Drosophila melanogaster: one gene and its partner. The protein of the gene in region 2 purifies or fractionates together with the protein of the main gene of each other region. This does not show direct contact. Each region holds a gene or a part of one and is shown on either strand. Other genes may lie near its edges. The genes, in order: Gale and Aldh.

Evidence for each region.
Region 1: the proteins of Aldh (region 2) and Gale purify together in Drosophila melanogaster (affinity purification with mass spectrometry, with the first as the bait; one large-scale study listed by BioGRID). This does not show direct contact.

Annotation. Positions count from the first base shown.
Region 1 is NT_037436.4:646,416-651,960, reverse strand, and holds Gale (UDP-galactose 4'-epimerase), read right to left. Parts: upstream 3,407-5,545; 5' UTR 2,910-3,406; intron 2,783-2,909; 5' UTR 2,782-2,782; coding exon 2,542-2,781; intron 1,729-2,541; coding exon 1,438-1,728; intron 1,378-1,437; coding exon 856-1,377; 3' UTR 650-855; downstream 1-649. UniProt on the Drosophila melanogaster protein: Catalyzes two distinct but analogous reactions: the reversible epimerization of UDP-glucose to UDP-galactose and the reversible epimerization of UDP-N-acetylglucosamine to UDP-N-acetylgalactosamine.
Region 2 is NT_033779.5:9,385,660-9,392,357, reverse strand, and holds Aldh (aldehyde dehydrogenase), read right to left. Parts: upstream 4,970-6,698; 5' UTR 4,591-4,969; coding exon 4,468-4,590; intron 2,530-4,467; coding exon 2,381-2,529; intron 2,319-2,380; coding exon 2,222-2,318; intron 2,113-2,221; coding exon 919-2,112; 3' UTR 791-918; downstream 1-790.

The DNA of each region.
Region 1 (5,545 bases), on a different chromosome or scaffold from region 2:
ACCATATTATACATATTAATTCATTACGTATGCATATCGCACACACATGTAGCCAGACGTAAATGTAGCACCTAGTAATGCTTCTTGTTGAATTCGATTTCTTTGCCTCTCCATCACTTGTTGAACGAATCGCCAAGCTCCTAAGTGTAAAACAGATTGCCAAATACCGATACAAACAAACACTCCCAGAAACAACAGGCTCGAATATAAACAATTTTGTACTTTTATACGTGCAGACCATTCCAAAACCAAACAGAAGCAGCAGCCGAACGCAGAGTTGTTGAAAGAAACATACATTCATAGTACATACTTGTGATAAATGACTTTAACTGTGCAGATATGTGCGAAGAAGGCGCATCACTTAAGTTTAAAATTGAGTTTTTAATGTTATATTGCATTTGAATAAATGTTTGCTAAATAAATGTGCGAGTTAGACGTCTTCTTGTAACTTTGGTCAGCTTAATGTGATTATGCCATTTTTGATTAAGATCTGACAAATGGTTGATGCAGTTGTGTGTTTATTTTACCTAATGCCAAGTGTAATCTCCCAGTGCCACCTTGTCGGTGACCTTAATTACGTGATTGCGCCAATTGGCACGCGTCAATGATGCCAGCGGTCACCAAACGCGTAAATGACGGTCACAAAATTACATGACAACAGCGAAAAGCCTTTTTAATTACAAAGTACTTTGGATTACATACGCACACTTGCACACATCGAAGTGAGCGAATACTACACGAAATTTGGAAAGAAATATACACAACTAGAGGCAAATAGAAATTGCTACCTGAGCCATTATCAGGCGTAGTAACTCAGGAACTTGCGGAGCGGCAGGAACGTGGCGATATACAGCTCTACTTGTTGGCATACCCGTTTGGGTTCTGGCTCTGCCAGCGCCACGTGTCCTCGCACATCTTGTCGATGCCACGCTCGGCCTTCCAGCCCAGCTTCTTATCCGCCAACGTGGCGTCCGCATAGCAAGTGGCCACATCTCCGGACCGTCGGTCCACCAGAGTGTAGTTGACCTTCTTGCCGGAGGCCTTCTCAAACGCCTTCACCATGTCCAGCACCGAGTAGCCCACGCCGGTGCCCAAATTGTAGGCGAAAAAGCCCGTCTCCGCGATGTTGCGCAGCTTGTCCAACGCCTTTACGTGTCCCTCGGCCAGGTCCACGATGTGGATGTAATCGCGCACGCCGGTGCCGTCGTGCGTGGGAAAGTCGCTGCCGTAGACACTCAGGCTGGGACGTCGACCCACGGCCACCTGTGCGATGTAGGGCATCAGGTTGTTGGGCTCGCCGTTCGGATCCTCGCCAATCCGACCACTGATGTGGGCACCCACCGGGTTGAAGTACCGCAGCGAAACCACTGCCCAACGCTGAAAGAGCGAATTCTTTAGTACAGAACTTATGGACATCAAGAAATGACATCCTCCTACCTTGTCAGACTTGCACAGATCCTTGAGAATCTCCTCGGTGAAATATTTAGTCTTGCCGTAGGGCGATGTACAGTTGCCCGTGGGATGCTCCTCGGTCACGGGCAGGAACTTTGGCTCACCGTATACGGTGGCGCTGGAGCTGTACACGAACTTGAAGACATTGTTGTCGGCCATCGCCTCCAGCAGGACATTGGTGCCGGTCATGTTGTTGTGGTAGTACTGCAAAGGTATGCGGCAGGACTCACCCACGGCCTTCAGGGCGGCAAAGTGGGCCACCATGTCGATTTTGTGCTGAAAGGGATGTAAATATATGTACCTATTAGTTTGGGAAATCCAAATCTGTAATAACCAGCTCTTCAGTAAGCACAAGGATATTGCCTCTTATAAACGTAAAGTGCAGAATTTAATAGCAATTAAATGAAAGTATCACATTGATTTCAAGGTGATTTATTGACAAACAATTATGTGTTCTTTAAATAGCTGTTGATAGTGCTGATTAGGTAAAAAATTCCACCACAACAAATACTGCTCAATCTATTCAGTAATCAGTGCGCGTAAGCACAAAGCTGTGTGCATTTATGGTTGAATAAAAATATGAAAAAGTATCAGCTTAAGATATTTCATGGCTATTTGGGCAACAACGTGCATTTTTATAATGTTCATTACATGTAAATAAACGCTTTGTTTTTTATAAACGACGGTGGTTAACAAAAAAAACCCCTTTGATCGAACATCTCAAGAATGCGTGATAACCTGCTCGAATTAGCGAATTCTCTTGGTTATCAATGGATGTAAACACTGCAATCTGGGCTCCCGACCACCCAGATTGTAGTGTACGTGCCCGGGAGCTGTTGTGGATGTGGATGCCAGCGCACCAACTCGAATGCGACCTCGCCAAGTGGGTCTTTCATTCAGGGTCGATCAGCACGGCGGTTCGTCGGAAGTGCCCCGCCACTTGAGCAAACAACAAAACAAGCGCGAACGAGAAAAAAGCTGATAGCGCGCATGCCAGATAAGCTTGATTGAATGGTATCCAGTTGGCACATTTGCCCCAGAACCTCCGAACTGCTGACGTGCCAGCTATGTAATGCTACGTGTGCTCACCTCCTGGAAGACGGAGCGCACCTGCTCCCTGTCCGTGATGTCCACTCTATAGAAGTTGACCTTCTTGCCGGTGATTTCCTGCACCCGGCTGAGGGCCTCCGGCAGTTTGGCCCCGCTGCTGTAGGCGTTGCACAGGTTGTCCACGCAGATGACGTTGTAGCCCGCATTGAGCATCTCCAGAACCGTGTGGGAGCCAATGTAGCCGGCTCCTCCGGTGACCAGGACCGTGGGTGGGGCCATCCTAAGTGGCGAAAGGGGAAAACACACGAAATTAGGCCACACGAGTGCCCAGTTCTTATTGACGTCACCAAAATCGTTCGGCAGGCGTGCGAAATAGCCGTCTGCTTGGCGAAAAACGGGTAACTCACCTGTTTACAGGTGATTATGGTAGAGAATCCCCGCTCAGTGAATCAGATTGAGTTTAGCTAGACGCAAGAGACGTGCCCTTGAAACGATTCCGCCTCGGATTCCGATGCCTAAAAACAACGCCTCTGATCTCCGACGAGATTGCAGATGATGGTGTAGATGAAGATGCCAAAGATCGCTGACCGTTGAGTGCTATCGTGTGCTAACCCGTTTCTTGCACTCTTCCTCATTCATCTGTGTTGTCGTACGTCTGTTTTGATCTGCGGTCGCTGGCCAACTGAACTGGTGGCTCTCCACGGAGCCTATTTAACTTGTTCTCCGTTCTCCGAACGCGCACTTCTTATCAGTTTCGGTGGTTTGGTGGGCTCGGAGCTCTCCTGTCACTTTAATTCAAGTGCTAGCAGCAGGCTGACTTGGTCGACGGACGGCCGGGGTCACCTCGAAGTGCATCCTTATCGCCGCTGACCTTTGGCTCCCGATTCCATGCCCATTAATGCAATTTCCAGGTGCTCTTCACTTCGCTCTCCGAATAAAAGTAAACAAAGTGGTAGCGTTGCCACGCGACATGGCTCGTTCGACGCTGCCATATTCGCCGATTTTTCAGCTACCTGGCACAGTGGGATTCGTCTCGATAAATTTCTTGGCTGTCTATCGATATGAACAACTTAAAACAAGAAGTGCGCCCATATCGGTGTTTAAATGTGAAAACATTCTGGAGACGCGAATAGGGGTGGTAAAAAAATAGTTTTCATTATAAAGCGTATAAAATCACAAATCGTAATTAATTAAACATATGATAAGAGAATAACGCCAAATTCATAATGCAATGTAATTTTGTAACGCATTCTATCCCCAAGATAATAATCTTATATGATCTGGCATCACTGCCATGTGCTTCTGTAAAATTTACATGTAGATAAGTTGACATTTTACTTGACTGATAAACGGAGCAGATTCAAAATTAATTTTAAACTCGAAAAGCAAACGTTTGATAACAACAAACTTCAGTACAATGCGTACAACTACATCGTCATAAATAACTAGAACCGCAGTTCGGACAGCTTTTTGGTGACCCAAATTCGGTTCAAATCTTTAATGATAAGCGGAAGTGCATGTGCTCAATACGCAATGAAAAAGATCTCACAATGTTTACAACTTAATTGAGAATGTATTTGCGCAGCGACGAGTCTCTCAATGAAATGCGCCTGCTTTCGGTTCTGAATGAATGGAATGCATGAATGGGTCGAAAGCTTCGGAGCTTTAACCTAGATTGGCATTTGACCGGCTTTATCTTATGGTTTTTGGAGTGTCGATAATCGTTATTTGTTTGAATAGTTCTATCTCAGTCAATAAATCGTTTTTCTGATTATGGTTTCCGAATTCCATTTCAATTTATCGCTAAAAAAAATTGCGGCATAAGAGTCCCAAAATTAGAACAAACCGTAAAATACTGCTTCGGCATAATAATCTACATAATCATCTGGAAACGAATCGATTCTCGAATGCGGGAAAGCTCACTCGATAAGGAAGACGCAGTACATACATATACCGCAAGACCATGCTTACCGCACACCGCATGTACTACATACATACGTACATCTACATATATTTTGAGATTCTCGGGCGGCACACATATGTACATACTGACAACCGGAAATGAGTTAGTTGAACTTCCGGCATTGCTCGCCTCTGAATGGCGCTGGCCTGCAATATTTTTTTATGTGAGCGACAATAATTTGCACAGTCAGAGTCGCAGCCACAGAAACTGAACTGAAACAGAATTGGAAAGAGAAAGACAGAACGGACAAGTCTCCAAGTGGAAGTGGTCGATCCTAAAGCTACGTATTTGTACATAATGTGCTGCGGTCTAGTCTACATACATAAATATATATATATATATATGTATAGAAGCGAGCTCCCAATCCAATCCCGCCTGCACATATGGGGGAATTATCAGTTCGGTCCGAGAGTTGGATTGCTGTTATTGCTGGGGCTAAGGTTTTCGGGGGGTCTGGCCCGGCCCGTTAGCTATGTCCGTCTTCTTGTTTACTTACTGTACTTATATGTTTATTAGTATGTGATCTTTTATTTCAAACACTTTCCACTCCACGAATAGAATGCCAAACGAATAGAATTTCCTTGCTTACACTTATTGTAAATTTCGGTTATCCATCTTAATAAAACCAATTTTCCGCATTATTGTTTGTGCCCGATAATCATCTATGTATGTTCTGCGTTCCCTCAAAAGAGACCACCCCAGATAAGCACCGACTCTGGCACTTTAATTTGATCTCGGATCGGCAATGGGAAAATGAAGTAGGGAAATAGTGAAAGTGGTGCACTTTTCACATGGCCCAACGGAGACCGACTTGGAAACTGGGATCGCCCGGGCCACCATAAATGCTTATCACAAATTAAGCAATTTATACATATTTCGTGACGTTTTCTGGCAGAACCCGCATGGCCCGTCTAAAAGTTTTCAATTCCTAAATTGAAGATATGGAAAATTAAATTCAAAACGCACTTTTCTATGCGCGATCCGAAGTCGAGACTACATACATAAATTTATTACATTTATTAAATTTGTTACTTTGACTCAAAAAATTCGAAAAAATTGGACCACTCTTCTGAACTTTTC
Region 2 (6,698 bases):
AACCACTTGCACTTTGGCCTTTGGTCATCACAAAAATTGAAATACAAATTTTAAATAAATTGCATACAAATGCGCTTATTCAATTTCGAAAACAACAAAGTGGAAAATAAGAGAACAAGTTCTCCACTAACCGCAAAGCACTTGACACGCTCAGCTGCTGTCCAATCTAATGGAAAACTTTTTCCAATTTTTTTTTGTATGCCATGATGTTGGATGAAAAACGACCCGATGTGTCTGTGTAAGTTTGAGTACGTCCTGATATGTGAGTCTTAGTGCCACAGAAATCCACACACAGATTCAAACACACACACTCAGGCATTCGAGGCTAAAACAAAACGATGGAAAATGCCAATAAATGCAAATAAATGTAAGCTTATTTCTCCTAGATGGACGAGCAAGCTAGTTCCCTGAGCTCCGTGTGCTGGTTGCTCACTTTATCCATTTGCTTTTGGCTCTATGCTAAACCAATCAATGTTTCGTGCAGTGTAAGCTGTGAGGAAGTATCTGTGTGCTTGTTTGTCCTATCTCAGTGTTGTGGGATAAGCAAAATAATGACATTCAGTTCAGAGTGTGCTATAAACAAAGCCAAGAATCTATTGGCAAACATTGGAATTACACATAAAACTCTGTAGGGCAAAGGGGAGTAAGATAGAACGTAAATAAAACAACTTTTGAATTGTTTGACCAGGTCCCTGCACTGATTTATAGCTGCATTACATATGTACTAGATAGAAATGTACACTTAAAGAAAACTAACCGAATGGAAAAAATACAAAAACTGGCCGTAGTTAGGTATATCAAACAGATGTATTTAAAACTATGTTCATTATAGAGATGTAGATTATCGCCGGAATTTAGAGCACCTAAGTAGGGCGAACCATATTAAGCGTCCCTCTTGGAGGAAATATCTGGTCCTTCTTAGGAGTTCTTCTGGGCAACCTTGACGATGACGCTCTTGACCTCCGTGTAGTTGGACAGAGCATACTCTCCGTTCTCGCGTCCATGGCCGGACATCTTGTAGCCACCGAACGGAGCCTGGGCAGCGAGGACATTGTAGGTGTTTACCCACACAGTTCCGGCACGCAGGCCACCCACAATGTAGTTGGCCTTGTCCAGATCCTTGGTGAAAACGGCGGCGGCCAATCCGTACTCGGAGTTGTTAGCCCGCTCGATGACCTCATCCAGCTTCTTGAAGCGGATCAGCTGCTGAACCGGTCCAAAGATCTCCTCCCTTGCAATGGTCATATCATCCTGGACATCGGCGAACACCGTGGGCTGGACGAAGTAGCCGGGTAGGCCCTCTGGGCGACTGCCACCGGCAACCAACTTAGCGCCCTGTTTCTTGCCTGTTTTGATCATTCCAAGGATCTTTTCCATCTGCTCCTCGTTCACCTGAGGACCTTGCTCAGTGTTCAGATCAAAGGGATTGCCCACGGTGCGCTTCTTAGCCCGCTCCGCGCTGCGCTCGACAAACTCATCGTAGATCTTGTCCTCCACGAAAGTACGAGATCCTGCACAGCAGCACTGGCCCATGTTAAAGAACAGACCAAAGTGAGCCGTCTCGACGGCGTAGTCCATATCGGTGTCAGACAGAATAATGTTTGGCGACTTGCCTCCCAACTCCAGTGTCACTCTCTTTAGGTTAGTATTTCCCGATGCTAGTTGGATAAGTTTGCCCACATCGGTGGAACCGGTGAAGGCCACCTTATCCACATCGCAGTGGTTCGCCAAGGCAGCGCCAGCAGTTCCAAATCCGGGAACCACATTGACCACACCTTCGGGGAAGCCAGCCTCCTTCACCAACTGGGCAATGTACAGAGCAGTCAAACTGGTCTGCTCAGCGGGCTTTAGTACAATGGTGTTGCCGGTAGCCAAAGCGGGACCCAGTTTCCAGGCCATCATCAGGATGGGGAAGTTCCAGGGAATGATCTGGCCGCACACGCCCACGGGTTCATGGCGGGTGTAAGTGAAGAAATCTCCGTCCATGGGAATAGTCTTGCCATGGTTCTTGTCCGCCCATCCAGCAAAGTAGCGCAGGTTCTTGATGGCAGTCGGGAGATCCACGTTGTAGGACATGCTGTAGGGCTTGCCGTTGTCAAGGGTCTCCAGACTCTGTCGGAAAATTAAATTTTGATAAGCATATAAGTATATATAAACTATATTAATATTTTAAACTTCCAACTAAAGACCTTGAATTATTAAAATATTTCTTGATACTTACGGCAAGATAGACCTGATCGCGTTCCATGAGATCAGCCAGGCGGTAGAGCAGGCGACCCCGCTCCGAGGCATCCATGCGACGCCATGGAGATCCCAACCTAGTGATCATAGAGTTGTTATTAATAAGCAAAGTCGATTTATATCCAAATTGCACACTCACTTGAATGCATTGCGTGCAGCCTGGACGGCAATATCGATATCTTCCTTATCAGCACACTGAATTTCGGCAATGACTTCCGCTGTGGTCGGGTTGATGGTTTCAAATATTTTGCCCGACTTGCTCTTGTGCCACTCGTTGTTGATAAATACCTGCAATAAGTAGTTAACAGCTTCAATTAGTGCCATATCATATTCACAATCTCTTCTATTGAATTCATTTGTATTTTACATCGTTTTGTTGGATTGACAAACAAGCCACTCCTCTATATGATAAGCCCTTGACTGCTGTTATTTGTTATTATTGCCTGCCGTGCGTGTTATTCCTCTATCGCAATTGACTGATTGTTTCGTTCGCATGGCTACCTGAATCTGACAATCCCCCAGTCTGGGTAATCTAAAACGTTTACCGGCTAACTGATTAAAATTGAAACGAAGTGAGCCCTCGCGTCCAACCCCTCACGTCATCCTATTTTATAGAACATTTTTATTTCTTTTTGTTTTTATTTTTGCATACATCTACTTTTGAATTTCACAATGTGCTTGCGAATATAAAACTTTCCGCCAGACATAGCAAAATATAAACATAGCGACGACGCACGTGTGCATTAGTTTTCGGGGGTCTGGCTAGACGAGTCTAATACTGGTTCGATTAGGGAAGCCAATCTTATAAGTGTGCCATGTTATCTCGCCCAGTAAAGACCCCCAAAATAATAGGGCTGCCGGTGATAAGAAGTGGAAACTGCCTATGCCAACAAACACAAATACAATAAGATAAATCAAGAGATTAGAACGTTTGTGGTGCGCGAGACATTATGGGCTGATATTTCTTGTTATGAAAGCAGATTCTCAGATTATGGCATATGTATAAGTACTATAAAGGTTGCATAATATGCAGTTCACTCAAAATAGACGAATGCTCAATTCTTGTAAAATTGAAATATTTTGCTTTAGGGTTCAGCATATATGTACATATATGGTCTATATATATGTTATTTGCTATTCTAAGCCAATTTAAGAGGTATGCAAGATTTCATTTTTAGACTTAAAAACAAAAATATATTGGTATGCAAGACATGCATATTTGAAAATCAAGTTCATTTGCAAAAATATTTATTATATACAAATTTTTAAGAACTTCCTTGTTTTTGGAAAACATAGAACACTAACAATTATTTAAAGACAGTTTAAGAGCGATGTAAGCTAGGAGTTTCTTTAAAAATTCTGAAATATATATAGACAAATAAAAACCGTGCACATTGGATTTTCAAGTTTTTTCTGCAAAAATGTTTACTATATACGAACTGCTCTAATTTCATTGGATCCCATTTAACATCTGGACAAAAACCACATTTGGCTCGCTTCCTAACCGCAATTCCTTTTCAATTAAATCGAACGAACGCTAGTTTTAATTGGTGACACTAAAGATAAAAAATGACAATGGTTAAATTTATGCAAATTTCCCTAGAGAAGAAATGAAAGCGCGAGGCGATGAGAAGAATAAATGATGAGAATTTGCGGCAAACAAATTTTTGTTTTGCGTGTGCGAGCGCCACTGCTGACGTAACAAAGAAACCGGGTATGGCAAACAATGAGAAGCTGAAGCAGAAATAACAACAACAATAGCCGGCGAACTACATATGCGATTGTTGTTTTTGCTTTTTCGATATCGCCTTTGTATATTTATTTTAGTCGCCGGTCTTTCGATTCGCTTAAGCAGCCTAATCCCCTACAATCCCCTACATCTGCCGATAAACATTTGGTGTACGTGATCTGAATGCGGTGAGACTCGCTTGCGTTGCGCTGATTTGCCAATTTCTTTTCGTTAAAATCGAAATGGGGAAGACCTACACCGGAGAACCTAAAAACTGGATTCGCATATGTAGGGTATTTGAGGAGGGGCTCTAGGGCGATAACAGCTGTAGTTGCTCGCCTCAAGGTCAGCTCAAAAACAAGTCAAATGCTTGCTTTCCTGTTGAGTTCTTTACTCAGATTGCAAGTGCGATTGCTACAAATGCCGCAATTTATTTATAATGCTTTTCACTTTTTATTTTTTTTTTTTTTTGGATTTGAGTTAGGATTAGGACTTACCCCGGTGTAGAGGATATCGGGCGTTGTCTGTGGCTGCGGGAGGGAGGAGTAGTTCGCAACAGCTGCTGCGAAGTTCTTGGCCTGGGAACGCAGCAGGGCACCGGTCTTCAAAACGCGCAGCATTTTGAATAGATTATTTTTTATACTTTTCCGGATAGAAAAACTAGAGAAAAGTACTGAGAGCGCAAAACTAGAACTGCGTCTTAATTGTTCAGCGGTCGACGGACAACTGAAACGATTTCGTAGCTTTGCCGCTCGCGAAAACTACTTAGGAATATTTAAGTGTCTAGAGGGGAACTCGCGCCACGCCACAAGTGCTGTCAGAAGAACATAGCCAAAAATAGCTACATATGGTCGCCCTTATCTATAAGATTTTTAACTGTTAGGAGCCATATAAAGAACAATAACACAATTTAGACCGAAAATTTAATAATTTTTTTTTTAAATTAAAATAAATAAAATTTTTGTGACCTAACGGTTTGAACTGATACACACAGCTGGCTTTATAACTTAAAAGAATTTCCACATAGTATACCTTGTTTTATATAATTAATTAGGTGGAGCAAAATCATAATAAGTATATGATTGAGGTATTATGTAGTTATTAGTATGGGATGGTTTTAAGAGAAAAAGTAGATAGGCATAAAGTAGTTAAAAGCTCATTGCCAACACTGATAAGTGCTGATAAAGTCAGAGCGAGATAGATAGATAATCTCTTCAATAGGGAAACCAGAAAGAGAAGGAAATCAATAACAAAGAGTCTTAAACGCAATAACTAAGTACTAAGTACGAAAAGTACTTGAATAAAATTGCATTTGCATGTGGAGATTTCATTATGCCGGGTGGGGTTATTATAATATTGTTTATCTCGTTAAGATACTCTTTAGTAATTTATGAAACTATAGATTGCTTTTGTAGCTTATTTGGCAAACCTCCACGGTATAAATTATCATACGATTTCGCTTAAAAGAAAAATATTCCAGAACTTTGTGTTTTTCGTTTAGAATGACTAGCTATTTTTTATAATTTCACGATGGGAGGAAATGAATTTAAAACCAAATGATATTGTAACATCTAAACAGTTATCAGGCCAATCAATCAATGAGCTTTAGAATTTGTATTCACAATTATATTATATAACTTGTGGAACAGAATGCGCCAGATGGTTTACTGTTAACTAGCAAGACTTGTATAGTAATAATAAATAAGGTATTATTATTTATTTTGGTACAATACAAAGAATTGCGCTAATTTATTTGCCCAAAAGTTATTGAATTAAAGTAATGCATTAGTGAAATGTCCGAAATCGTTCGTCTATTATTGAACATTACTTTGATTTTTATTATGTTGCTGTCTCTCTTCATTATTTCGCTTGCTTCTCAACGTTTTCATCCCCTTGCACGAGCATTCGCATAATAAAAATGGCTATGGCATACTTTTCGGCTGTCAGCCATATTACTAGCACAAAATTGATGATGAGCGAAAAGAGGACGAAATTTATTTCAACATAATTCATTAAATGCGATTTAGGCCAATTTGTCAAAATCTTTCGAAATTTATTTCACTCGTAAATTGAAAGCTTAGCGACGGCTGTCAAGAGAATCACGCATACGCATCGTTGGCCAAAACTGGCGAACGAAAGCAATCACAGTCGGAAAACTAATTCAATACAATGCGTCTCACCCTTCCGTCCGAAAAGCACATGCAACTGAAATGGAGGCTGAGTAAACATTTGGTCGATTCCGGCTCCATTCCCCTCGATTTTCCCACCGAAGGGCCCAATTACCAACGCCGAAACCGCCCGAATAAACTTTAATGGCAATTGTTATGCGGCGGTGCCGGTTATTGATGATTCTGCTGTCGCTGCGGTTGCTGTCCTCAGCTGCATGAAATATTTAATAACCGAGAGTAAACAGTTTGGCGTAAAAAATAAATTGCATTCGGACAGCTCGGCTCAGGCGCACGCACTTAAATGCCATCATTGATGGCTGATTGCTGGACGCAGTACCATGTAGTATATGTACATACATATGTGGGTTATAAATGCGAAAATGAAATTTACAACAATTTGTTGGAAATTACTTTCAATTGAATTTAATTACGCCTGGTGGGAGTCGATGTCGCTCCTTGCGCTTGCACAATTTTATGGATGATTACGTAAATTAAGTTTGGCTTGTGTGTGGTAGTATGATACTCGGTGTGTAGAGCAGAGGTGGGAATATAATTAACAC